Arabidopsis thaliana: one gene and its partners. The protein of the gene in region 2 interacts with the protein of the main gene of each other region in a pairwise test. Each region holds a gene or a part of one and is shown on either strand. Other genes may lie near its edges.

Region 1 (6,578 bases), 6.9 Mb from region 2:
GAATTGTTTTCTATATTATTATTTTTTAAAATCGTTCCTTTCGGGAAAAAAGTGAAAAAAAAAATGCTAAACCGTGATAAAGAATGTCAAATTTCCTTGTTTTACTTAGTTATCAACGAGTTCAAAAGATTTCGATTTTCACTCACTCAGTGATCCATTTAGACCAAACCCGAAGCCCAATTTTACTTAGTTAATTTGATAGTGGAGTTCTTGCATGTCTAAATTGGGCCTCACAGTCCCACCTTGATATCGGAAAAATTATCTGTTGAGCTGAAATTGAAATTGGATTTTCCGTTAGGTTTACCTGGTATTGAAATTAGAATTGAATTTTCGGTTAAGTTTACCTGGTATTGAAATTAGAATTGATTTTGGTTTCGGTTTACACTGGTTAAGAGAAGAAAACAAAAACAATTGCACGCGATGGGGATTTCAGAGAGGAGTGCGTAGATTAAAAAAGGCATGATTTCCAAAGGGGTACACCCACAGAAGTGCTCTCACGCGCTCAACGCTCACTTTGTGAGAGTGGGGGTGAAATACAGCCTTCTGATTGGTTGAAAAACTCTAAAAAAAGTGAAATAGTATACATGTTGCTAGCTCCATATTAGTTTTTCGTCTTCTTCTCTCAATCTGATGAAAGTTGTTGTTTTTAGGTACAATTCATTCTATTCAAAACAATTTTGACGTCTCTCAATCCCATTTTAGATACAATTGATTCTATTTCAGGTTTTGGGGTTATTTCTCAAATCGATTCCTGTCACCAAAATCAAAATCTGAAAGCAAATGGTTGATGAGGATCACTTGGAAGATTTTGTCTGTGTTTGACTATGGAGTTGCACATAAATGGTTAGGGATCAGAGGAATAAGTTGACTCAGGAAGTTTCTTCTGCTTTCAGCGGCAAGCTCAACATCCTTGTAAGTTCCCTTCTCATGCTAAAGACATTTGTTGTTTTCTATGCTTTTTTTATTGAATTTTCTACACATTGGAATCTTCACCAATCTTGAAATTCTACATATCACATTAGCTCGTATCCTTGCAAGTTTCTTATCCGATAGAACAATCTTCGAACCATTCTGCCACACTTTTATCAGGTTTCTATATATGTTTGGTCTTAGGATTGAATGGTTTAGACTTTTGGTGGTTTTGCCTCGAATGATCAGCTATCTGTCTATTCCATACATGTAATGTGAAGGCTTACGGTTTTTTGTTGAACCATATAGTGATGCTTGTTGATCTCATGTAAGTTTTCCATCTATTAGGCAAGATCTGTTATATGTTAACATAGTTAAGATTACCAGCACCGGAGGAAATCGCGTCACTGGTTGCTTTTCTTTGCCTTCCTGCAGCCTCCTACACTACAAGACAGGAAGAGCTAAAAGCATGCTTAAATGATTGCAAATCCAGTGGTTTAGTGGTGTCTGGTTCGGTTAGAGATCAGAGGGATAAGTTGATTCAGTGGCAAGCTCAACATTCTTGTAAGTTCCCTTCTTCTGCAAAATGCTTGTTAAAACTGACTCTCTAGTTTTTTCTCAGCATTGTGATCAGAATCGTCATTGATCTTGAAATAGTTTATTGCATTAGCTCTGCATCCTTATAAGTTCCTTCTCCATCAAAACATCCTCATACAAATCTATTTGCTGGCTACGCTTTTGTCAGGTTTCTTCATTAGGTTTGTCTTAGCCTTGAACGGTTGAGATTTGTGTTGGTTTTGCCTTAAATGCTCTGTACCTTAGTTTTATGTCGTTTCATCATCATATTTTTTTTCTTGCAGAAATCCAAGGCATCGGATGCAAGTGAGGAAACTATCAATGTACTAAATTAATTGCATAAAATCCGTAGGCCATACAATGGTTTGCTTGGTGACATATGATTATTCAATGACTTTGTGTGCAGACTACATTCGATATCAATGTCTTTGGGACGATAACTCTTATAAAGTTGGTCACTCCTCATATGCTAAAACAAGGAGGCGGTCATTTTGTTGTGGTACGTGGAGACTAACGAGGGATAGTTTTTGTTAAGTGCCCTAATTTTGTGGATTTGTTGAAGGATTGAGCTTCATATCATAGTTTATGGATATGGATATACATTGCGTTTTTTATATGTTAAATCTAAGGCTTTTAAGCTATGTATAGATAGTTTAAGGTTTCTTTTGTATTTTTGTCTTCTGCTTGCTAAATTCCAAATCATGTTACCGTATACACATCTTGAGAAGTCAAACTACGGTTAGCTATTCTTGTATGTGTTAATTTTCCATTTCCTTGGGTTAAATGTCATGATTAATAATTCACGTCAGTCTATAGATAAGCAGTGCTGCAGGAAAGGTACCATCACCTGGACAGGCTATATATTCTGCTTCAAAACATGCTCTGCACGGCTACTTCCACAGCTTGCGTTCTGAGGTATGTTAAAAGTTAAAGAAACTGTGGTGCTTGCTAATTATTTGGCAGCTAATGACTTATTGAAAGTCACAATAGAAAACTCACAGCTACCTCAGAGTTTTCTGATTTGATTTTTTCTTTTACATTCCTTTTCACTAATTGCTGAGAATAGCACCATAAAGTAACAATTCACAGTTGGTTCACAATCTGCCTATGGTTTCAGTTCTGTCAGGAGGGAATCAAAGTGACCGTCGTTATTCCTGGTCCAATAGAAACGTTGAATGGTACAGGAACATCAACTTCGGAAGACAAGAAGTCTCATGAGGTTGGTTAACTGATTGTGATTTGTTGATTAAGTTGTCAGTTTTTTGTACTTGTACCTTTCCTTTAAGCAACTAATCAGTCTTGTAGACACATAGAATCCTCTTCCTTTTCAACATTAGGATCTTCTATCTCCGGCTTCTTTCTCTTTTTATTTCCACTCAAAGATCTTTTCTTTTGCTACACAGAAGCGTGTGTCATCTGAATGATATGCAGAACTGACTATAATCGCCGCGTCTCATAGCTTGAAGGAAGCTTGGATTTCATATCAGGTACTTGTTTGTCAAAATCGCATATGTTTCACTCAGTTTAGATGCTGATATACGATCTTCTTTTTGCTATTTATCAGCCAGTACTGCTTGTGATGTATCTAGTGCAGTACATGCCTTCCCTTGGCTTTTGCTATTTAGTTTCTTTGCGCTCAAGAGGTTTTCAGATGCAGCTACGAGATAAATCGGACTACTGTATATAGTAATCCAACAGGCTTTTGAGCCCAGTGGACTTGAGTTCCTAGAAAAGAAAAACCGAAAAGAAAGTTATGTGATGCGTATATTGAAGACTAATGAAAAGCTTTTGGGGATTCACTTGCTGCCAGAAACTCACAGACAACACTCCTGCCAAAGCTGTCACAAGGCTGATCACTGTTCATTCTTTCCTTCTCTGCAGATATGTGCCGGCAGTAATTTAATTTTTGGTAACTGCTTTCTCCTTCTTCTCCTTTACTCATTTCCCCTATATTTCCTTCCTTTTATCATCATTATATACAAATTGGTAAATATCATTTTTAGATTGTGATCTTCGAAAATTTATTATAGATGTCAATAGATCTAAAAGTTTATACAAGAAGAAAAGGTGAACTCGGAAACCGAAAAGATGGAGAAGGAAAGTCAGGAAAACTCGACCAGACCCGATGCTTCGTCTACTGTTTTCTCTTCCTCTAAGGTAATATCTCTCTATAATCCAAATATCCAATCCTTTTTCTCTTATGTGGGTGATGCGATATTTATACAAATTGCAGAGTACATGCGCAAGCCCTAGCTATCTCAAAGAAGCTGGAGACTTGATCAGTAGGTTGCCTGATGATATTCTCCAACTAATTCTCTCCTATCTTCCAACCAGATTGGCGATCAAAACTTCCGTTTTATCCAGGCGATGGAGGCATGTATGGTCTGATACATGGTCCCTCTCCTTCCATAGGGACAGACCGGATGCTCCTTGTATTAACAGAATCCTAGATCGCTACAGGGCTCCCAAGATGATGAGTTTTCGTATCTGTTCTTGTTGCAGGGCAGCCTGTATCAGCAGACCCGACACGCATGCTGACATCGACAGTTGGATCAACTTCGCCATGTCCCGAAACGTGGAGAATCTGTCCCTGTATCTCGATGAGGATAAATATGATATCCCTGAATTCCTTTACATCAATTCCTCTCTCAAGCAACTCTACCTTGATTTCGGCTGCAAAAAGGATTTTATATCTCTGAATCCCAAATGTTCTGTGTCTTGGACATCCCTGAAGAACCTGTCATTGTATCATTGCAACATCTCTGATGAATCCATTGCTATTATTCTATCTGGTTGTCCCATTCTCGAAAGCTTATTGTTGTTTTTCTGCAAGAAACTGAAGGTCCTTGATCTCAGCAAATCACCGCGTCTGATAACATTAGAAATCACTCGTAGATGTCGAATGGAGCCAACACAGCTCGTTGCACCACATATCCGTTGTCTCAGATTGATAAACTCTGAGAAACCATGTGCTTTAGTTGATGTCTCCTCTTTATCCCAAGCTGAACTAGACATTACCGCTTACGCAATAGTTGATAATAAACTGGAGGCTGATTTTCATCAGACCATGGTGGTAAAGATGTTAGAAAAGTGTCAGAATGTGGAGAAGCTTACTTTGGGGGCAAACTTTCTTAAGGTATATGTTTTCACTCCTGATTTAGTTTACATAATTAGGCTCTGATTTTCAAGAAAACTAGTGTGTTTTTTGGTATACACTCATTTGTCTTCTGTTTTTTTTTGTTTGTTATAGATGTTATCTCTTGCCGAGCTCCGTGGTGTTTCTTTTCCAAAGTTGAAGGCTAAAGCTCTGATACTTGAGACAATGATCTCTCGATATGTTATTCATGGTATAGTAAAGGTGCTACAAAACTCGCCTGACTTGAAGAAGCTAACCATACACCCAATGGGGTCTGCCGGCTCATATCCCATACCGGTAATTATGAATATTCCTTGACCCCGAATTTTGAATCATCATATTGAAATATACTTGCATTACAGGAAGAGCATATTGACATATACTTGGATTCTCATGGCTTGAATTGGGATCCATCCTGGAGCTCGGAGTTTAAGAACACTTCCCGCAGGAATGTAGAGTCAAAGCAAGTGGCTTCGTTTCTGCAACTTGTGCTTAAAACCATATCAACATTAGAGTTGATTGTCGCAAGGTTGGAAGGTTATATCAAAGGAAGACGTTTTGTAGAGTTGCGTCAGATGGTTCCAATGCTTCCTCGCAACAACGATGTCTCCATTGTGCTCAGCTCAAGAAGAAAACGATTCAGAGTGACTTAAGTCATTTTACATTTAAGTAGTACACTAGATGAAAATCTCTTGTTTGTTTTTCTTACTGAAATAATCGAATTCTGTTAAATTGATTTTAAGTTGTGAAATTGTTTTTACGTTTTACCATTTCCAATCTACTGGCTAACCTCGGAAAAACGGTCTAGTGAGCGAGCATTGCCTTGAGAAACAGTACCCGCCAAATCCAGCTCTCATGTACACAGTTTGATATTATTTCTTTCCAGTACTTTTGATTCAGCAACAGAGAGTTCTTTTCGGGCTATGTAAGAATCAATTTGCATTGTCTGCAGCCTATCCGGTGGGGAGCTGAGCCAAGGAGCAAGATTTGCTCCATATCCATTTTCTTCAATTCTAGTTATGCATGCCTTGAGATCCACGTACCTAAGATAAACAAAGAATCAGTCAGAGGTGACAAACCTAGGACAAAAGAAGTTGCGGAATCGAACAAATTTTGGCCTAAGGAACAGAAGCAAGGCATATCAAATATCACAAGTCTCAAGGTCTTGGATCTCTCTGAGAACAATCTTGATGGATCTCTCCCTTCATCTCCTGGGATACAGGCATGAAAGAATCTCTCGTAAGTTCATCTTCGCTTTTGCGTTTCATATACAGCTTCACTATCGTAATACATAACTTAGCAGTGAACTGGAAGAATTCAAAGCAAGGTCTTGCCAACAATAACGTCTGCCTCTACACTCTGATAGACCTCTCCATAACAAGCTATTCGGAGAAATCCCATATTCTTTAGGCAATCTCAAAAGCTTAAAGCTTTTAAACCTCTCATACAACGACATCTCTGGATTGATCCCACAAAGTTTTGGAAATCTTGAGAAGGTAGACCTTTCACACAATAACCTCTCAGGCGAAATCCCGCAGAAACTATCCAAGCTCAGTGAGCTGAATGTATGGAGTTGAGCAACAACAAACTTATAGGTAGAATCCATGAGAGTCCTCAGCTAGACAGATTGAACGATCCGAACATTTACGCAAACAACAACAAAATATGTGGAATGCAAATCCAAGAACCATGCTCGACACAGACCAAGCAGCCAGAGAAGCAATGTTTTCATGGAAAGCTGCAGTCATAGGTTGTCCTTGTGGAATTCTAATGGCAGTTGTCTAAATGTATATGGTTGGCTATTTCAGAGACTCATCACCACCACCAAGGCGATCTCTCAAGAACAGATGACTGAAGAAATCAAAATCTCTGTTTTTTTTAAAACGAAATGGAAGATTATTCAGATGCTGTAACATTGAAAAATAAAACAGTCTGTTAGCAATCCCTATGAAGTGAT
Region 2 (5,301 bases):
CAATACAATGACAAAACTGTAGAGGAAATCAGTAACAAGAAGGAATAGTTAAGAAGAGCAAAACTAATTACACAGTTACACACGACATAAGTTATTGGCAAGTACTTGTGAATTCAATAATCCAATAATGACATATATATTTCATTCATTGTGTATTGTAAAAAACTTTTGTATTCATATGTAATTGTTTTGATTAAAATTGTGAGCTGAAGTTTCCTATTTGGAACTTTGTGTTTGTGGTATTAATTAAGATCTAAAAAAAGTTAGAATCAAAGAGGTAGATATTACCGTGTAATACTATCAATTGCGTAAGACGTGATATTTATGCATTCATTTATAAAACATCATCGTAGTGCATTTTTGATGAAAAAGTTTATTTGGAAAAATGGAGTCCAGTAGATAAAAAAAAAAAAAGAATTACATAGAAACTTAGGAGTAAACACTGTAAAACACGAATTTCCAAAAAAAAAAAAAGAAGTTGTAGTTATAATTTAAAAGACACATATAAAAAATAATTTAGTGGAAATTAAAACAACATAACATGAGTAGATAACTTAATGATTGTGTGACTTACTTGACACGATACATCATACATGTATCTATGAAAGTTAGGGCTTACATACTAACTTACAAGTAAACACATGAAAAAGTTGTGGTTTTAATCAAAAAGACACATAAAAAAAGACTTTAGTGGAAGAACAACATCAACATGAGTAGACATACAATACAACTTCAAGCTTTCGTGACTTACTTGACACGATACATGCATATATGAAAGTTATTAGGGCTTATAAATAGACAAACGCATAGGTTCATAACTTCATTACCTTATTACTCAATCATTTACTCAATTCTTCAATCTTCCAGAGAAAAAATCTCCCCCACTGAAAAAATAATGTCGACGAAGAAGATCATATTGAAGAGCTCCGATGGTCACTCATTCGAGGTCGAAGAAGAGGCCGCACGCCAATGCCAGATTATCATAGCTCATATGAGTGAAAATGATTGTACCGATAATGGAATCCCTCTTCCAAACGTGACAGGCAAGATTCTTGCGATGGTGATCGAGTACTGCAACAAGCACCACGTCGATGCCGCTAATCCTTGCTCCGACGATGATCTCAAGAAGTGGGACAAGGAGTTCATGGAAAAAGATACATCCACGATCTTTGATCTCATCAAGGCTGCGAATTACCTAAACATCAAAAGCCTTTTTGATCTAGCATGCCAAACCGTCGCGGAAATCATCAAAGGCAACACTCCTGAGCAGATTCGCGAATTCTTCAACATTGAGAATGATTTAACACCTGAGGAAGAAGCAGCGATTCGTAGGGAGAATAAATGGGCTTTTGAATGAGCGGATTATCAAAACCTAAACAGCTTTCTTTCTTTTCTTTTCTTTCTTATTTAGTGTGTGTTTCGTTATCAATCTAGGTGATGGTGACTTCATCTACGTACGATAATCCAATAATGGAAGCAGCTGCTTTCTTTCTTTTCTTTTCGTTTTCTTCTTTAGTGTGTGTTTTTAATATCTTGATCAATGTAGTTGATGATGAGTTCATCAAAGTTCAATAATCAAATAATGAAAGTAGACATATATTTCGTTTGTTGTGATGATACTTACAAAAATACTCTTCTTTACTCGATAAAATACTTTTGCATTCCTCTGTTTTTTTTAATTAAATTTCTGACAGGTTATGGCTTGTTAATCTTATAAAATGTGTTTAAAATTATACAAAATTCAGGCGAAATATTAAAAGCTAAATAGATTTAACTAAAAAAAGTTATATATATTGACATATTTCTTTTCTAAAAAATTGAGATCTATACAATATTTTTTAACGAAAAACAAAAACTGCAATATAATATATATATTTATAGATGCGTATAAGATATAGACATATTCAAATTTCAGACTTATTCGTAAAGCAACAATGAAGTAATGAACTTAATTTCGTATAACTACTGGATTTTGATTTTATTATAAAGTAAAATTTCATATAATTGAATAAATTCTTATATTTTTTATGCGAAAAAACAGTGGATGAGTTTTTTTTTTTTAATTAAAATTTAAAACTGTGTGCGGAAGTTACTTAATTGGAACATTTTTGGTATACATTAAGAAATGACAAAGAGATATGGAAAATATAAAATCAAAGACCATATATTGAAAGTATTAAAACACATGAAATTTCAAATAAAGGTTACAGATTATATAACCTTTCAATGTTAATGATTTTGTGACTTAATTGACACGATACATCATACATGTATCTATGAAAAAGTTAGGGCTTACATACTAACTTACAAGTAAACACATAAAAAAGTTGTTGTTTTAATCAAAAAGACACAAAAAAAAATATACTTTAGTGGAAGAACAACATCAACATGAGTAGACATACAACTTCATGCTTTCGTGACTTACATGACACGATACATGCATCTGTGAAAGTTAGGGCTTATAAATAGACAAGACTCATTTTCATTACCTTATTACTCAATCATTCTCTCAATTTTTCAATCTTTCATCAAAATTTCTTCCAGAGAAAAAAAAATCTCCCCCACAAAGAAAACAACAATGTCGACAAAAAAGATCATGTTGAAGAGCTCAGATGGTAAAATGTTTGAGATTGAAGAAGAGACCGCACGCCAATGCCAGACCATAGCTCATATGATTGAAGCCGAATGTACGGATAACGTAATCCCGGTTTCAAACGTGACAAGCGAGATTCTTGAGATGGTGATCGAGTACTGCAACAAGCACCACGTCGATGCCGCTAATCCTTGCTCCGATGAGGATCTCAAGAAGTGGGACAAGGAGTTCATGGAAAAAGATCAATACACGATCTTTCATCTCATGAATGCTGCGTATGACCTACACATCAAAAGCCTTCTTGCTCTAGCTTACCAAACAGTCGCGGATATGGTCAACGACAATAAATGGGCTTTTGAATGAGCGGATTATCAAAACCTAAGAAGCTTTTCTTGCTTTTCTTTTCTCTCTTTTAGTGTGTGTTATTCAGTTTCGTTATCAATGTAGATGATGGTGACTTCGTCTACGTTCGACAATCTAATAATGAAAGAAGCTTTCTTTCTGTTCTTTTTTCTTTTTCTTTCTTCGTTAGTGTGTGTTTTTCAATTTCTTGATCAATGTAGTTGATGATGACTTCATCAAAGTTCAATAATCAAATAATGAAAGTAGACATATATTTCGTTTATTGTGATACTAAAAAACATACTCTTCTTTGCTCGATGAAATACTTTTGTATTCCTATAATAAAAAGTAGTTGTGGTTTTAATCCAAACACATAAAAATATTAAATATATCAAAGAAACTATATTTCGTTTATTTGTATACTAAAAAACTTTTGTATGCATATATAGAATTGTTTTGGTTTAATTTTGGTAGGTTTTGGGTTGTTTAACCGTATAAAATGTATTAAAAATGATACTTACTGTTTAACAGAAAATGATACGCTTTTACATTTTTAGTATCAAGAAAAACAAATAGATATAGAAAAAGAGACAAAGACTATATTTTTTTTTTTTTGTTAAAGTGAAACAAAGACTATATTACCGTCCGTGTAATACGATGATGAAATGATTTCTTTTTTTACATGGGTTTGTTGCAAAACAATTATTAAAACATTTGAAATTTCAACTAAAGGCCGTATTCAAATGCGTTGTCCTGAGTTCTGACTTAAGCATCATTGATCGAGTCTCTTAGTATAGTCTGAAACTTGAAACTTGTTTTTCATTTTTCTTTGATTGTGTCTAAATTAAAGTTTGATATACATTTGGAGTTAGATATTACTGCGAGGGCCTCTATCAATTGCCGTGTAATACTATCAATTGCGTAAGACGACGTGATATTTATGCATGCAATTATAGAAAGTTTGAAGACGCGTTAATGTGTATAAAACAACATCGTATAGTGCATTCTTGATGAAAAAGTTTATTTGGGAAAATTGAGTCCAGTATATAATAATAAAAAACAAAGAATTAAAAGAAGAATTATATAGAAACTTAGGAGTAAACACTGTAAAACACGAATTTTCTAATTAAAAAAAAAGTTGTAGTTATAATCTAAAAGACACATAGAAAAATACTTTAGTGGAAATTAAAACAACATAACATGAGTAGATAACTTAATGATTTTGTGACTTACTTGACACGATACATCATACATGTATCTATGAAAGTTAGGGCTTACATACTAACTTACAAGTAAACACATAAAAATGTTGTGGTTTTAATCAAAAAGACACATAAAAAAAAGACTTAATGGAAGAACAACATCAACATGAGTAGACATACAACTTCATGCTTTCGTGACTTACTTGACACGATACATGCATCTATGAAAGTTAGGGCTTATAAATAGACAAGACTCATAGGTTCATAACTTCATTACCTTATTACTCAATCATTTTCTCAATTCTTCAATCTTTCATCAAAATTTCTTCCAGAGAAAAAAAACAAATCTCCCCCACAAAGAAAACAACAATGTCGACGAAAAAGATCATGTTGAAGAGCTCCGAGGGTAAAACGTTTGAGATTGAAGAAGAGACCGCACGCCAATGCCAGACCATAGCTCATATGATTGAAGCCGAATGTACAGATAACGTAATCCTGGTTTTAAAGATGACAAGCGAGATTCTTGAGATGGTGATCGAGTACTGCAACAAGCACCACGTCGATGCCGCTAATCCTTGCTCCGACGATGATCTCGAGAAGTGGGACAAGGAGTTCATGGAAAAAGATAAATCCACGATCTTTGCTCTCACCAATGCTGCGAATTTCCTAAACAACAAAAGCCTTCTTCATCTAGCAGGCCAAACCGTCGCGGATATGATCAAAGGCAACACTCCGAAGCAGATGCGCGAATTCTTCAACATTGAGAATGATTTAACACCTGAGGAAGAAGCAGCGATTCGTAGGGAGAATAAATGGGCTTTTGAATGAGCGGATTATCAAAACCTAAACAGCTTTCTTTCTTTTCTTTTCTTTCTTATTTAGTATGTGTTTCGTTATCAATCTAGGTGATGGTGACTTCATCTACGTTCGATGATCCAATAATGAAAGCAGCTGCTTTCTTTCTTTTATCTTTTTTTTCTTTGGTGTGTTTAAGTGTTTTTCAATTTCTTGATCAATGTAATTGATGATGACTTCATCAAAGTTTATTAATTAAATAATGAAAGTAGACATATATTTCGTTCTTTGTGAAAGTAAAAAATACTCCTTTTTACTCAATAATATACTTTTGTATTCCTATAGTTGTTTTGACTAAAATTCTGATAG
Region 3 (6,362 bases), on a different chromosome or scaffold from region 2:
AAAAGAAATCTCTAAAATGTGTTTGTTCATTTTTCTCCTGAGGATTAGCTAGGGCAAAAATTTGATAACTTATAATCGTTGATTTCGTTCGGTTTATTATGTGTTAATTAAACTCAGTTTATCATGTTTTTTTCCTTTTACCGGATCTGGCGGTCTGCTATGAATGGACTTTGGATATTCTTTTACTACGTTTGGGTTAGATATAAACAGATATATATGAAGGATAATTTTCATGCTTTTATAGTGTTTTTAGATAGTAGTTGTTTTAGATTTTCATGCCTTAATAGTGTTTTAGATATGAGGCTAATTTCTATGCTATGACGCTGCTATATATAAATTTATAATAGTCCTTTGTTCTTACACTATTCTAGTCTTGTTTTGTTTCACACCGTTATTACTCTATCATCATCATCATATATATATTTTACTTGTCATGGTTATAGAAAACAAGTAATTAGGTTATTAGCATATATAAGAATATCATTACCTTATAAAACTCTTATGATAGATCCTATCTTAAAGCATCATTACACTTTGATCTTTTAAGCCAAGGAATTTGGATATATATGTATACATTTACTTTTACTCGAGAATGTATGCATAGATATGATTAGATATGCATACTATTTTAAAGCATCAGTTTTATTTTGAAGTCACCGTTGATATGATGATGTTATAATATAGTCCTTATTCGATCGGGTCTTGTTTTGTTTCACATAGTTACTGTTATATCATACATAATTACTTGTCCTTTGTCATGGTAATAATGAAAAAAGTAGTTAGGTTATTATAATTATAAAAAGATTAGAAGATTATCAACTTATAGAATTCTTATCATAGACTTGCTTAAAGCATCTTTAGAGTTTGATCTTTTAGGTCCCAATTGAAACAAATGGTTTGTTAATTACATGCTTCTAAGTTGATTAGTACTATGAGAATTTCTAATATTATTATTATTGTTTTTTTTAAGAACATATTGCTCTTCTTCTTCTTATAGTTTATGATTTAACTCATATATTTGCAGATCAAGGAATCTGAGAAGTCTTGGACTTGGAATGTGCTTTCCAAGGGTGACGAAACTAGGAGTTGTGAACGCAATTGCAAAAATTCCATTGCTTGAAACCCTCGAGGTCACTCACTCATGTATAAAACTGGATTTAAAAGCTATAGGCCACGCTTGCCCACAGCTAAAGACATTGAAGCTAAACTCCTTAGGCCGCCTATGGCCAGCCAGTGACAAGTATGACAGCAACGTGTTAGACGATATGGGGCCTCTCGAATGTGATGATGATGCTTTAGCAATTGCTGAAAGCATGCCCAAACTACACCACCTCCAGCTTATGGCTAACAGACTAACCAACACAGGCTTGAATGCCATTCTCGACGGTTGTCCTCACCTGGAACACCTTGATGTACGCAAGTGTTTCAGGATTAGCCTTGTCGGGAATCTTGAGAAGCGATGTTTGGAGATGATCAAAGAGTTGAGACGCCCCGGTGACTCAACCGCAGATTACCCATATAATGGTGTGTGAGTTGTGCTTCAGCTGATGAAGACATGTGGATACTCTGAGAAAAACAGGGTTGGGTTTAATCGTCTTATCAACTTTTGAACTCGTTCCATGTGATCATGTCTCCTCTTTTCTCTATGATGCCAATGACTATTATTGGTATTAGATATTGAATCTTCCTGAACTAGTCCTGCACATTCATTTATCCATTCGGTTACGGTTATATCCATTCGGTTATCGGTTTTTCGGTTCTAAAATTTAGTATCTATTCGGTTATTTTGAAAGTTTGGTTCGGTTTTGGTTCTTTCGGTTTTAAAATTTAATATCCATTTTGTTATTTTGCTTTGAATATTTTCGGATATTTCGGTTATTTTTGAATATTTTTAGATATTTTTGGATATTTTCGGTTATTTTTCAAATACGTTTACCATTTTGTATATATTTTCAACTATTTTTAGTTATTTAGTATAGAAATAACTAATATTTTTAAAAATATATTTATATTCCGGATATTTTCGGTTACCCAACATATTTCGGTTACCCAAAATATTTCGGTTATTATCCATTCGGTTTCGGTTCTTTCGGTTATAGAATTTAGTTTCCCTTCGGTTATTTTTCAATTTTCGGTTCGATTTGGTTTGGTTTCGGTTTGGTACATTCGGTTCGGTTTATTAGCCGAGGCCTATCCTAAACAATGGAGAGAACATTTGTTTTTTGTTGCTCTTGCCAACTTTTGCTGTGGGTACAATATAATTATAGGCCAAGGCCCAATATTAAACTAGGCTTGGCCCAAACTGGTTTCGTAGATATGTGATACCATAAGGATCTAATTGTAAAATTAGAGACTGATGATAATTCTTGACAATTCGATACTTAGAAATGGCTTCTTCGTCTTCACCCCCGGCGGCGATGGAGGTCGGAGAATCTACAAACTGGACGGAGCTTCCACCGGAACTGACTTCAGCAATCCTGCACCGTCTTGGCGCGATTGAGATACTTGAAAACGCTCAGAAAGTTTGCAGATCTTGGCGTCGTGTTTGTAAAGACCCATCGATGTGGCGTAAAATTGACATGCATAACCTCGGAGATTTGGACGACATGGATTACAACCTCGAGATCATGTGCCGTCACGCTGTTGATCGTAGCCAGGGAGGCTTGGTTGATATCGGTATTTGGTACTTTGGTACTGTTGATCTCCTCAATTACATCGCCCATAGGTTCTCTCTTTTCCCACTCAAAATTTCGCCAATTTTTATTTCCGTCAAAAGGAGTTTTTGATTCCTTGTTTAGAGAACTTGGATTGATTTGATTTCAATATGTTTGTTCTAGGGTTAGAACAGTTTTTGGTTGTGGAAGTTACTATTTCTTGTGAGAATTGGGGAAATTATTTGTAGCTTATGATTGTGTTGTGTTACATTGTATCTAAATTCTATGTTGGAGTAGTAAGTAGTCACTTGATTATAAGATTGTTATGCTTCTGAGGTATGAATAGTTAGGTTCAGGTTTTTATGGGATGCTAGAAAAAAGATGTTTTGGATCTTTGTCATTCTTCTTCTCTATCTTAGATGTTGTTTTTAACTTTGTTACACACAATTATTTGCAGGTCGAGTAATCTGAGAAGCCTTAGACTTATAAGGTGTTCTCAAATTACAGACGATGGATTTGTCGAAGCAGTTGTGAAACTTCCACTTGAAGAACTCGAGTTGTCATACTGCTCATTTTCAGTAGAGTCTCTCAGAGTTGTAGGCCAGTGTTGTTTAAATATGAAGACTTTGAAGCTGAACAAGCATCCTCAAAAGGAGAATGACGATGATGCTCTAGCAATCGCTGAAACAATGCCGAAACTTCGCCATCTCCAGCTTTGTGGGAACGGGTTGTCAGACACCGGTTTAAACGCTATTCTTGACAATTGCTCAAACCTGGAACATCTTGATTTACGCCGGTGTTTCAATGTTAACCTTGTTGGGGATTTGCAGAAGCGGTGTTTTGAGAGTGTCAAAGTTGTGAGACACCCTAATGACTCGATTCATGATATCGACATTGGTTCATCAGAAGACGAAGACCCTTATGACTTCTCTGATATCGATCTGATGTCAGGTGATGATGATTTTGAGGGTTACTATGACTTCTCAGGTGCTAGTGACTTTTCTGACTATGACCAGTTTGATTTCTAGATGCATCGGTTTCGTGCAGGTGAATTTTTTTCGAACTTGTTCATGACTTGTTTTAAGTTAGCTCATAGTTTCAATGGATTTTATGTGTCCTTGAAGTATGTTACCGTTTGTAATGATGTCTTTTGCTGTTTGTCTTTCAACAATTTCTAAGCTCAGAAAAGTTTCAAAGATGGTGATTGTTTCATCTTGCTTTTGACGAAAGAAATTGAGTTTATTCTCCAAAAAATTTGCTTAACGCTTGTTGTTCTGTTAGAAACTCAGACAACAACGAGAAATGCCAATATCAAAACTAAGATAAGTAATAAAAAAAATCATCAAGTCCTCCAATAGAAACATAATCATCTCTTTGATCATTTCATGCCTCAGGTCTAAGAACTGTTTCCTCTCGGTAAGCAATCATCAAAACTCCAATAGAAACATGAATCAGCTCTTTGATCATTAATGCCTCAAGTCGAAGAATCTCTGCGGAAACTAATGAGGTTTTGGAACAAACCCGTCAACCGCGAAATTCCTTGTTGCTGAAGGAATAGCCAAGCGCACACCATCTAGCTCTGGTCTTGCAATGACTTGGCATCCGAGTCGTGACCTGAAACATTTGTCCGGGAACATATGATACTTTCTCATTAAAGTAAACAATTAGACTTCTTGTTTTGTGTTTGCTTTAAGAGTAAGAGAGGACTTTACGTTTCTGTGAGCCCAAAAGCAAGATCAAGCATATCATTCTCTTCATCTGTTGGTTCTTCAAGTTTGTTATAGTATTCAGTATCCTGTAAATACAATCTTAGCTAGTTTCCGGAAAAGCAGAGGATTCGATCTATTAATAATGGAAGAATATGTTTACCATCACAATCACATGACACGTTGAACACGCTAGAGAAGCCTCACAAGCCCCTGGAGATCAAGTAAAAGCAATCCATGAATTTTCAATTCGAAAAAGGATCAATATAATTAATAGAACCCATCTAAAGCTATGAGAGTAAGCAATTGAAAACGAGAAGAAAATGGAAGAGAAGTGTGCACCTTCAAGGTCTATATCATTTTCATGAGCAGCTTCGAGCACTGACATTCCAATTGGTACTTTAACAGGAATTTCCTCTCCGTCCTTATCAACAAAGATTATGGTTATCCTGAAAACAACAGAATTATGATAAACTATCAGCAAATATTGCTTCAGCGCTGGATGAATATTTCGGTAGTAACTTACTTCTCAGTTTCTTCATCACCATTCTCAGAGGAAGTTGTTGAAGAAGTACAAAACTTATGGCTCTTCAAAAACCAGGCTTCCTGAGAAGTCCTAGCTTGCCTTGGTACCACTGGCTATCGAAAAGATGAAACGAGAAAGATTCAACCATCAATGTGGAAACAAAACAGAATCTATGAGTGACAAAACCAAGATTTTCTGTTCATTCATCCATTATAGACCACCCAATTTCTCACCTTAAGCCTTTTCTTAGGCCTTTGAGCCAAAACCAAATATAGGACTCTTTCCAACTGGACACATTAGAATCGTCACTAACAGATCCATCTAACACCAAACAAGCGCAGAAAAGCTACATTTCGTTCTTCTGCGATCACTTTATGACATTACTAACGAGATTCTACCTAGCCAGATAATAGAGTGAACTCTAACAAAGAATCCTATTCTAAGTATTAATGAGAGTTTATACATGAAGAAGTAACAAAATTATCGATTGTAAGAGAGTATAAAACTCGAGAACAAGCTCAGACTAACCAAAGACTGCAAGTAGTGGCCATAAGACCGGTGTAGATTCTTTGTCCCGTATGTTGCTAAATATCCCTCTGCCAAAACAAGAAATAGAAAGAGCAGCAAAATATTAAGGCAGCATTGTGTAGGCAGACAATGTTTTAGCAAAACCCATGAATGAGGGACTAAAATACGCATACGCAGTTCGAAATCGAAGTGAGATTAGAAACTCCATCAAAACCAATATAGCAAACGCATCAAAGAGCATCGATTTAAAGCAGATACCAGATAGTACCTCTTGCGAGCTGTTTAACAATAGTAGACCCCAATCTTGAGATCCTATGACCGATCATCGTTCACTGCCGCTAAAGCACCTAGCTGAAACCTCGAAAGAATTGAAATTTAACCTAATTTGAGTGTGGACCGAAAACAAGGCAAACCCAGAATTTAACCAAAGCTAAAAAGAAACCTTTACTCACCAATCTACCTGTCTTGAGAATTGAGATTAACGATGCCAAAAAGATCCAAACTTGGGCAAGAAATGATTTTTTTTTTGAAAGAATTAAACGCAGTTTATCATAGAGAATAATCGAGGGATGAAAAGTTATTCACTTTACGAAGATCATAAACTAAGACGACTGTAATCGTATGGTCGATGATGAAGAATAAGGTTAAAAGAGACGGCTTTGTGTAAAGACAACCTCAGAATCTCATATGTTCTTCATGTTTTGAAGATCTTAAACCTTTTTTTGTTTTCTCTTCCCTGTTTTTCTTATAAAACATTTGGTTTGTTATATTTCGAATTTCGACATTGTCTTAAACCGAACCGGATTGTACCGGTCTGACCCAAACAACTAATCCAACATCCATGTACAAATTTGGTAATGAGAAACCAATCAGGAACAATTTGCCACTCAACACAATTCTTTGCAGAAGAATAACAAGACAAATACAAAAGCAGTCTAGAAGAGAAAA
Region 4 (5,807 bases), 1.7 Mb from region 2:
GATAGAGATAACGAGTACAAGAGTCTTTTAGACGAGAAGCTTCATGATCTTCCACATCAAGATACCACAGGTTTGATACAGTTATACAATAAAGAGCTTGAGGATCGTCTCTCAACCCATTAAAATATCAAACCATTTTTCTACATTCTAATATTGTGTATATATGTATTCCTAATTAATTAATTATCTGTTGACAAAAATATGTATTTCAATCACACACATTCAATTTTACCATACATTTATTTATCATAACAAACTGCTTGTTAATTCTATAGACTACTCCCATCTTATTGATTAAGGAAAAATTAATCCTTTTCAAATTAGAGATACTAAACATTTTTTAATTTTTAATTTTATTTAATAAGATCATAGTTTCTTTCTAATGATGTTGTTCTACACATTTTAAAATATATATATATATATATGTATAGTTTTCTTATATATATTATTTATCATATACTGTATATGTATGGTTTTTTATATATCTATATGTGTTTTAAAATTTCTATTTTTATTTAATAAGATACATATAGTTTCCTTATTATTTTAACTTTAACATTTTTGAAATCGTTTTTAATAAGATATTTGTATAGTTTCCTTATATTTTTTTAAAAAAATAATAATAAATAAATAAATTTTTGTTTAACACGTGTCAAAATCTAAGATTGATTAGTTTGACATGTGGCATAATATAACCATATTAATTTAGTATTTCCTCAAACCAAATTTCAATCTTACAAATTCAATTTTGCAATACAACTTAAATATTTATTTTAGTATAATATAAATACAATTTAATTTGATTGTATAAAATTCATAATACAATTTGATTTTGCAATACAAATACATTTTAATTCTATACACTCCATCTTATTGTTAGTTTTTCTTTTTAGTTAAGAAAATTATAATTTAATTTATTTAGATATAGATATGATCTAAGTTTATATGTAAATATATTTCTTTTTTAAGTTGTTTTTTTTAAGAAAAAAATTAAAAAAAAATTATTTTGACACATATCAACATCTGAACGATAGACTTGACACGTCTCATGATTATGTGAGATACTAATTTTGAAAACTATATTTTATATAATAAAGATAGGTGTTAATTGTTAACATATAATTTATGATTGACACAATTAAATTTTTAAATCCTATCAAAATCCAACCAAATCTAAAATCATTAAAAATAAAAATAAATTAAAATCCATGATTCAATAAGCCCAAATTATAAACTCAACTTATTTTTGTCTACATAAGACGAGCACGTACGTCAAACCTAAAATATTAGAACCCCAATTTTTAGTCTGCAGCCCTTGTACGTAGCTTCTTTATTCCTTGTGAGATCGCAATGATGACATTACAATCTTCTCCCATGTCCGTTCTTACCGAAGATTTGGTAGAGGATATACTCTCTAGGGTTCCAGCGACATCTCTAGTTCGATTACGATCTACTTGCAAACAGTGGAACGCAATATTAAATGATCGTAGATTCATCAAGAAGCACTTTGATACAGCAGAAAAGGAGTATTTGGATATGTTGTTAAGGAGTCTTAGGGTTTCTTCGATGAGTGTCAATCTCCATGGACTTCATGACAACATTGATCCTTCTATAGAGCTAAAGCGTGAACTTAACCTAAAAGGTCTCCTTTGTAATTCAGGTAAAGTCGAGAGTTTTGAAGTCTTTCACTGTAACGGGTTATTGCTATTCACCAACACTAGCACTATCGTGGTTTGGAACCCTTGTACGGGTCAAACCAAGTGGATCCAAACTGAAAGTGCTAACACTAGATACCATAAGTATGCTCTCGGATACGAAAACAAAAATTTGTGCCGTGATTACAAAATCCTAAGGTTCTTGGATGATGGAACTAATTTTGAGTTGGAAATCTACGAGTTTAATTCGAGTTCATGGAGGGTTCTTGATAGTGTCGAAATAGACTTCGAACTAGACATAGGTAGCCAAGGCATGTCAGTAAAGGGGAATACTTATTGGATCGTTATAGATGATCATGAAGTAGATGGAGAATTAGTCAATTGTTTCTTAACAAGTTTTGATTTTACAAGAGAAAGATTTGGGCCACATGTGTGCCTTCCGTTTCAAACTAGTTGGTATAGCGATGTGATCTCACTATCTTCTGTAAGAGAAGAGCGGCTTTCAGTCTTGTTTCATGAAGAAGATTCTTTAACGATGGAGATATGGGTGACAAATGATATCACTGACACCATTGTCACGTCTTGGAGCAAATTTTTAAGAGTTGACTTATACACTCATCGGTTTTATAATGGTGTAACTTTTTTCATTGACGAGGAGAATAAAGCCGCCGTGTTTAGTGAGGATGTACCCGATGATAGTGATGACATACACAGCATTGTATACATTATTGGACAAGATAGATTGAGAATTGTGGATCTTGAAGATGGACCATTTTGGCCACAAATGTTCTGTTATGTTCCAAGTTTAGTTCAAATCTAGCAATATCTCAGTATTCGTTCGTTTAAAATAATTCAATTGCTTGAACCTCCTCTATAAATTTCTTCTTTTTTTGTTATCATCGTCATGTCCTTCGACTAATTAATGAATTGATCCTTTTTCTCTTGTATCATTTTCCTTTTTTCGTTACTTTATGGTTCTTTTCTTCTTTTGCATTACTTTCAATTTTTCCATTTTCCTGATAATTATGAACTTTGCTAAAGAGAGAAGAGCACCCAAAAAAAAAAACTAAGAAAGAAAGAGCACAAATAAGGAAATTCAAAACGTTTTTAGGCTTTAAGTTAAAGCCTTTAACAATCCTCACAAAAATACAAAAGTATACGATATGTAAATCTGCTATTTTAGTAAACAGAATCCATCTAGGAAAAAGGAAAAAACAAATATTTGAGGGAGGTCATCTTATATTTGTCTATATATATAAGACTGCAAAACGTACGTTGAAACCCTAATTTCTATGTCATTCTACGTTGAAATTCACAAGAGAAACTATGATGATGCCTCATCTTTCAGAGGATTTGGTAGAGGAGATACTCTCTAGGGTTCCGGCTATATCTCTAAAACGATTACGATATACTTGCAAACAATGGAATGCTTTGTTTAATGATCAAAGATTCAGTAAGAAGCACCGTGATAAAGCACCGAAGACATATCTGGGTCTCACATTGAAGGATTTTAGGATTTATTCAATGAGCTCAAATCTGCATGGACTTCTTCACAACAACAACATTGATCTACTTATGGAGTTCAAAGGTAAACTTAGCAGTCTAAACGATTTAAACGATTTCGAAATATCACAAATCTATCCCTGCGACGGTTTAATATTATGCTCCACGAAGCGTAACACTAGACTCGTGGTTTGGAACCCCTGTACCGGTCAAACCAGGTGGATCAAACGCAGGAATCGTAGGATGTGTGATACCTTTGCTTTTGGATATGACAACAGCAAGTCTTCTTGCCTTAATAACTACAAAATCCTGAGGGTTTGCGAAAAAATAAAAGGACAGCAGTTTGAGTATGAAATCTTTGAGTTTAGCTCTAATTCATGGAGGGTTCTCGATGTTAATCCCAACTGCATCATAGAAGGTAGGAGTGTGTCTGTCAAAGGAAATAGTTATTGGTTTGCTACAATTACAAAAACACACTACTTCATACGACGTTTTGATTTTTCATCAGAAACGTTTCAGAAACTTCCTCTTCCGTTTCACATATTTGACTACAATGATTCTAGGGCTCTATCAGCCTTTAGAGAAGAACAACTCTCAGTGTTACATCAGAGTTTTGATACAGAAAAGATGGATATATGGGTGACCAATAAAATTGATGAGACCACAGATTGGTCATGGAGCAAGTTCTTCACAGTGAGATTAATCAATAGGTTAGACTATCCTATTAGCATGATGATGAAGTCTCCCCTAAGTTTCTTCATCGATGAGAAAAAGAATATCATTTTGTGTTATGATAAACACAGAGAAAATACCTACAAGTCATTGGTATTAATTGTTGGGAAGGATAAAGTCTACAGAGAATTCTACTTTCCAGAATCATACGAATTAGGTAGGACATATCTATGCAACTATGTTCCAAGTTTAGTTCAAATCAAGCAAAGTGGACTGATATCTACAAGGAAAAGAAAGCGAAAAGATTTCTCAAGTTAAAATCAAGATTGAAGGTTGTAATTTGTTGCATCTCCTCCGTTTTTTTTTTTTAATATGTATTGGTTTCCTTAGTCAATGTCCTTTCATTACTTAATTAATGAATTGATCATTTTTTGTTTTCGTTACTTTCTCGTTCCTTTATTCTTTGCATTATTTTCAAATTCAACTAATGAACCAACATATATATAGCTGGCAAGTTTGATAAACTCTAGACTGTTTGGTATAACGACTCGTGGTTTGGTACCCTTCAGACGCATTATATCAGACAACGGCGGTAATTCAACAATTATTAAAAACCAAAAAAAAAAGTCATGATATGATATCATTTTTTTTTTCCTTCTCAAATTATTATCAATTCTTAACGAGATACAAACTAGGAACAAACTCTTTTTCTTTTTCTACAAATCAATACATTTATCAAGATTTCAAGTTAGTGGAAATGTTAACACGCTAAAAAATAAAAATTAAATTGGAAAGGAAAAAAAGAAGAAGAAGTAAAATTAGCAAATAGAGTCCACGTAGGATGTTAAAAAAAAAAAGGAAAAGAGACCACGTAGGAAGAAAAGGTTAAAAAGCGTAATTAATCGTTACTTGTTTGTCTATTAAGAAAGTCAAAACCCTAGTTTCTTAGGGTATAAAGGTCGGTATACAGGGCCGAAGTCGCTTTCTTCTTCTTCCTCGGGACAAGATGATGTCAAATCTTCCACTGGATTTAGTAGAGGAAATACTCTCAAGGGTTCCAGCAACATCTTTGAAACGATTACGATCTACTTGCAAATCATGGAACAATTGCTACAAAGACCAAAGATTCACGGAGAAGCACTCTGTTATAGCAGCAAAGCAGTTTCTAGTTCTAATGTTGAAGGATTGTAGGGTTTCCTCAGTGAGCGTCAATCTCAATGAAATTCACAATAACATCGCTGCTCCATCTATAGAGTTGAAGGGTGTAGTTGGGCCACAGATGCAAATATCTGGAATCTTTCACTGCGATGGTTTATTGTTATGCACCACCAAAGACGATAGACTTGAGGTTTGGAACCCTTGTACTGGCCAAACCAGGCGGGTCCAACACAGTATACATTACAAGACTAACTCTGAGTTTGTTCTTGGGTACGTCAACAACAACTCTCGCCATAGCTACAAAATCTTGAGGTACTGGAATTTTTACATGTCTAACTACCGAGTTAGTGAGTTCGAAATCTATGACTTTAGCTCTGATTCATGGAGGTTTATTGATGAAGTTAATCCCTACTGCCTCACAGAAGGAGAGGTGTCTTTGAAAGGAAATACTTACTGGCTAGCTTCCGATGAAAAACGAGATATAGATCTCATACTAAGGTTTGATTTCTCAATAGAAAGATATCAACGCTTGAATCTTCCGATTCTGAAATCTGACTATGAAACTGAAGCTCTATCAGTTGTTAGAGAAAAGCAACTTTCAGTATTACTTAAGAGGAATGATACTCTAGAGAGGGAGATTTGGGTGACGACCAATGACAAGATTGATCACACGACCAAAAACTTGTTGTGGATCAAGTTCTTAGCAATTGATCAACGTACTTGTTATCATTGGTCTTGTGTGAGTTTCTTCATCGACGAGGAGAAGAAAATGGCCGTGTTTTGTGATGGTTATATAGGAGGCATCAATGAGACTAGCAG

What was found.
Region 1: the proteins of SK7 (region 2) and AT3G03360 interact in a protein complementation assay, tested with the Arabidopsis thaliana proteins (one study listed by BioGRID).
Region 3: the proteins of SK7 (region 2) and AT4G05460 interact in a two-hybrid assay, tested with the Arabidopsis thaliana proteins (one large-scale study listed by BioGRID).
Region 4: the proteins of SK7 (region 2) and AT3G17490 interact in a two-hybrid assay, tested with the Arabidopsis thaliana proteins (one study listed by BioGRID).

What each region holds. Positions count from the first base shown.
Region 1 is NC_003074.8:791,645-798,222, forward strand, and holds AT3G03360 (F-box/RNI-like superfamily protein), read left to right. Parts: upstream 1-3,261; 5' UTR 3,262-3,394; intron 3,395-3,515; 5' UTR 3,516-3,642; intron 3,643-3,718; 5' UTR 3,719-3,860; coding exon 3,861-3,862; intron 3,863-3,987; coding exon 3,988-4,621; intron 4,622-4,735; coding exon 4,736-4,918; intron 4,919-4,983; coding exon 4,984-5,274; 3' UTR 5,275-5,369; downstream 5,370-6,578. Other genes in the region: AT3G03350 (NAD(P)-binding Rossmann-fold superfamily protein), read left to right, coding at 237-347, 849-912, 1,054-1,089, 1,284-1,473, 1,732-1,808, 1,892-1,984, 2,302-2,400, 2,603-2,704 and 1 more; AT3G03370 (uncharacterized protein), read right to left, coding at 5,779-5,950, 6,061-6,239.
Region 2 is NC_003074.8:7,693,145-7,698,445, reverse strand, and holds SK7 (SKP1-like 7), read left to right. Parts: upstream 1-2,509; 5' UTR 2,510-2,578; coding exon 2,579-2,956; 3' UTR 2,957-3,218; downstream 3,219-5,301. Other genes in the region: SK9 (SKP1-like 9), read left to right, coding at 896-1,357; SK8 (SKP1-like 8), read left to right, coding at 4,507-4,965. UniProt on the Arabidopsis thaliana protein: Involved in ubiquitination and subsequent proteasomal degradation of target proteins. Together with CUL1, RBX1 and a F-box protein, it forms a SCF E3 ubiquitin ligase complex. The functional specificity of this complex depends on the type of F-box protein.
Region 3 is NC_003075.7:2,758,426-2,764,787, reverse strand, and holds AT4G05460 (RNI-like superfamily protein), read left to right. Parts: upstream 1-2,342; 5' UTR 2,343-2,387; coding exon 2,388-2,725; intron 2,726-3,111; coding exon 3,112-3,682; 3' UTR 3,683-4,153; coding exon of another isoform or gene 4,154-4,268; 3' UTR 4,269-4,286; downstream 4,287-6,362. Other genes in the region: AT4G05470 (RNI-like superfamily protein), read left to right, coding at 1,025-1,532; MFDX1 (mitochondrial ferredoxin 1), read right to left, coding at 4,154-4,268, 4,367-4,449, 4,524-4,573, 4,703-4,809, 4,887-4,999, 5,415-5,482, 5,683-5,740. UniProt on the Arabidopsis thaliana protein: Component of SCF(ASK-cullin-F-box) E3 ubiquitin ligase complexes, which may mediate the ubiquitination and subsequent proteasomal degradation of target proteins.
Region 4 is NC_003074.8:5,981,846-5,987,652, forward strand, and holds AT3G17490 (F-box and associated interaction domains-containing protein), read left to right. Parts: upstream 1-2,981; coding exon 2,982-4,148; downstream 4,149-5,807. Other genes in the region: CRSH (Ca2+-activated RelA/spot-like protein), read left to right, coding at 1-123; AT3G17480 (F-box/associated interaction domain protein), read left to right, coding at 1,351-2,475; AT3G17500 (F-box family protein), read left to right, coding at 4,840-5,807.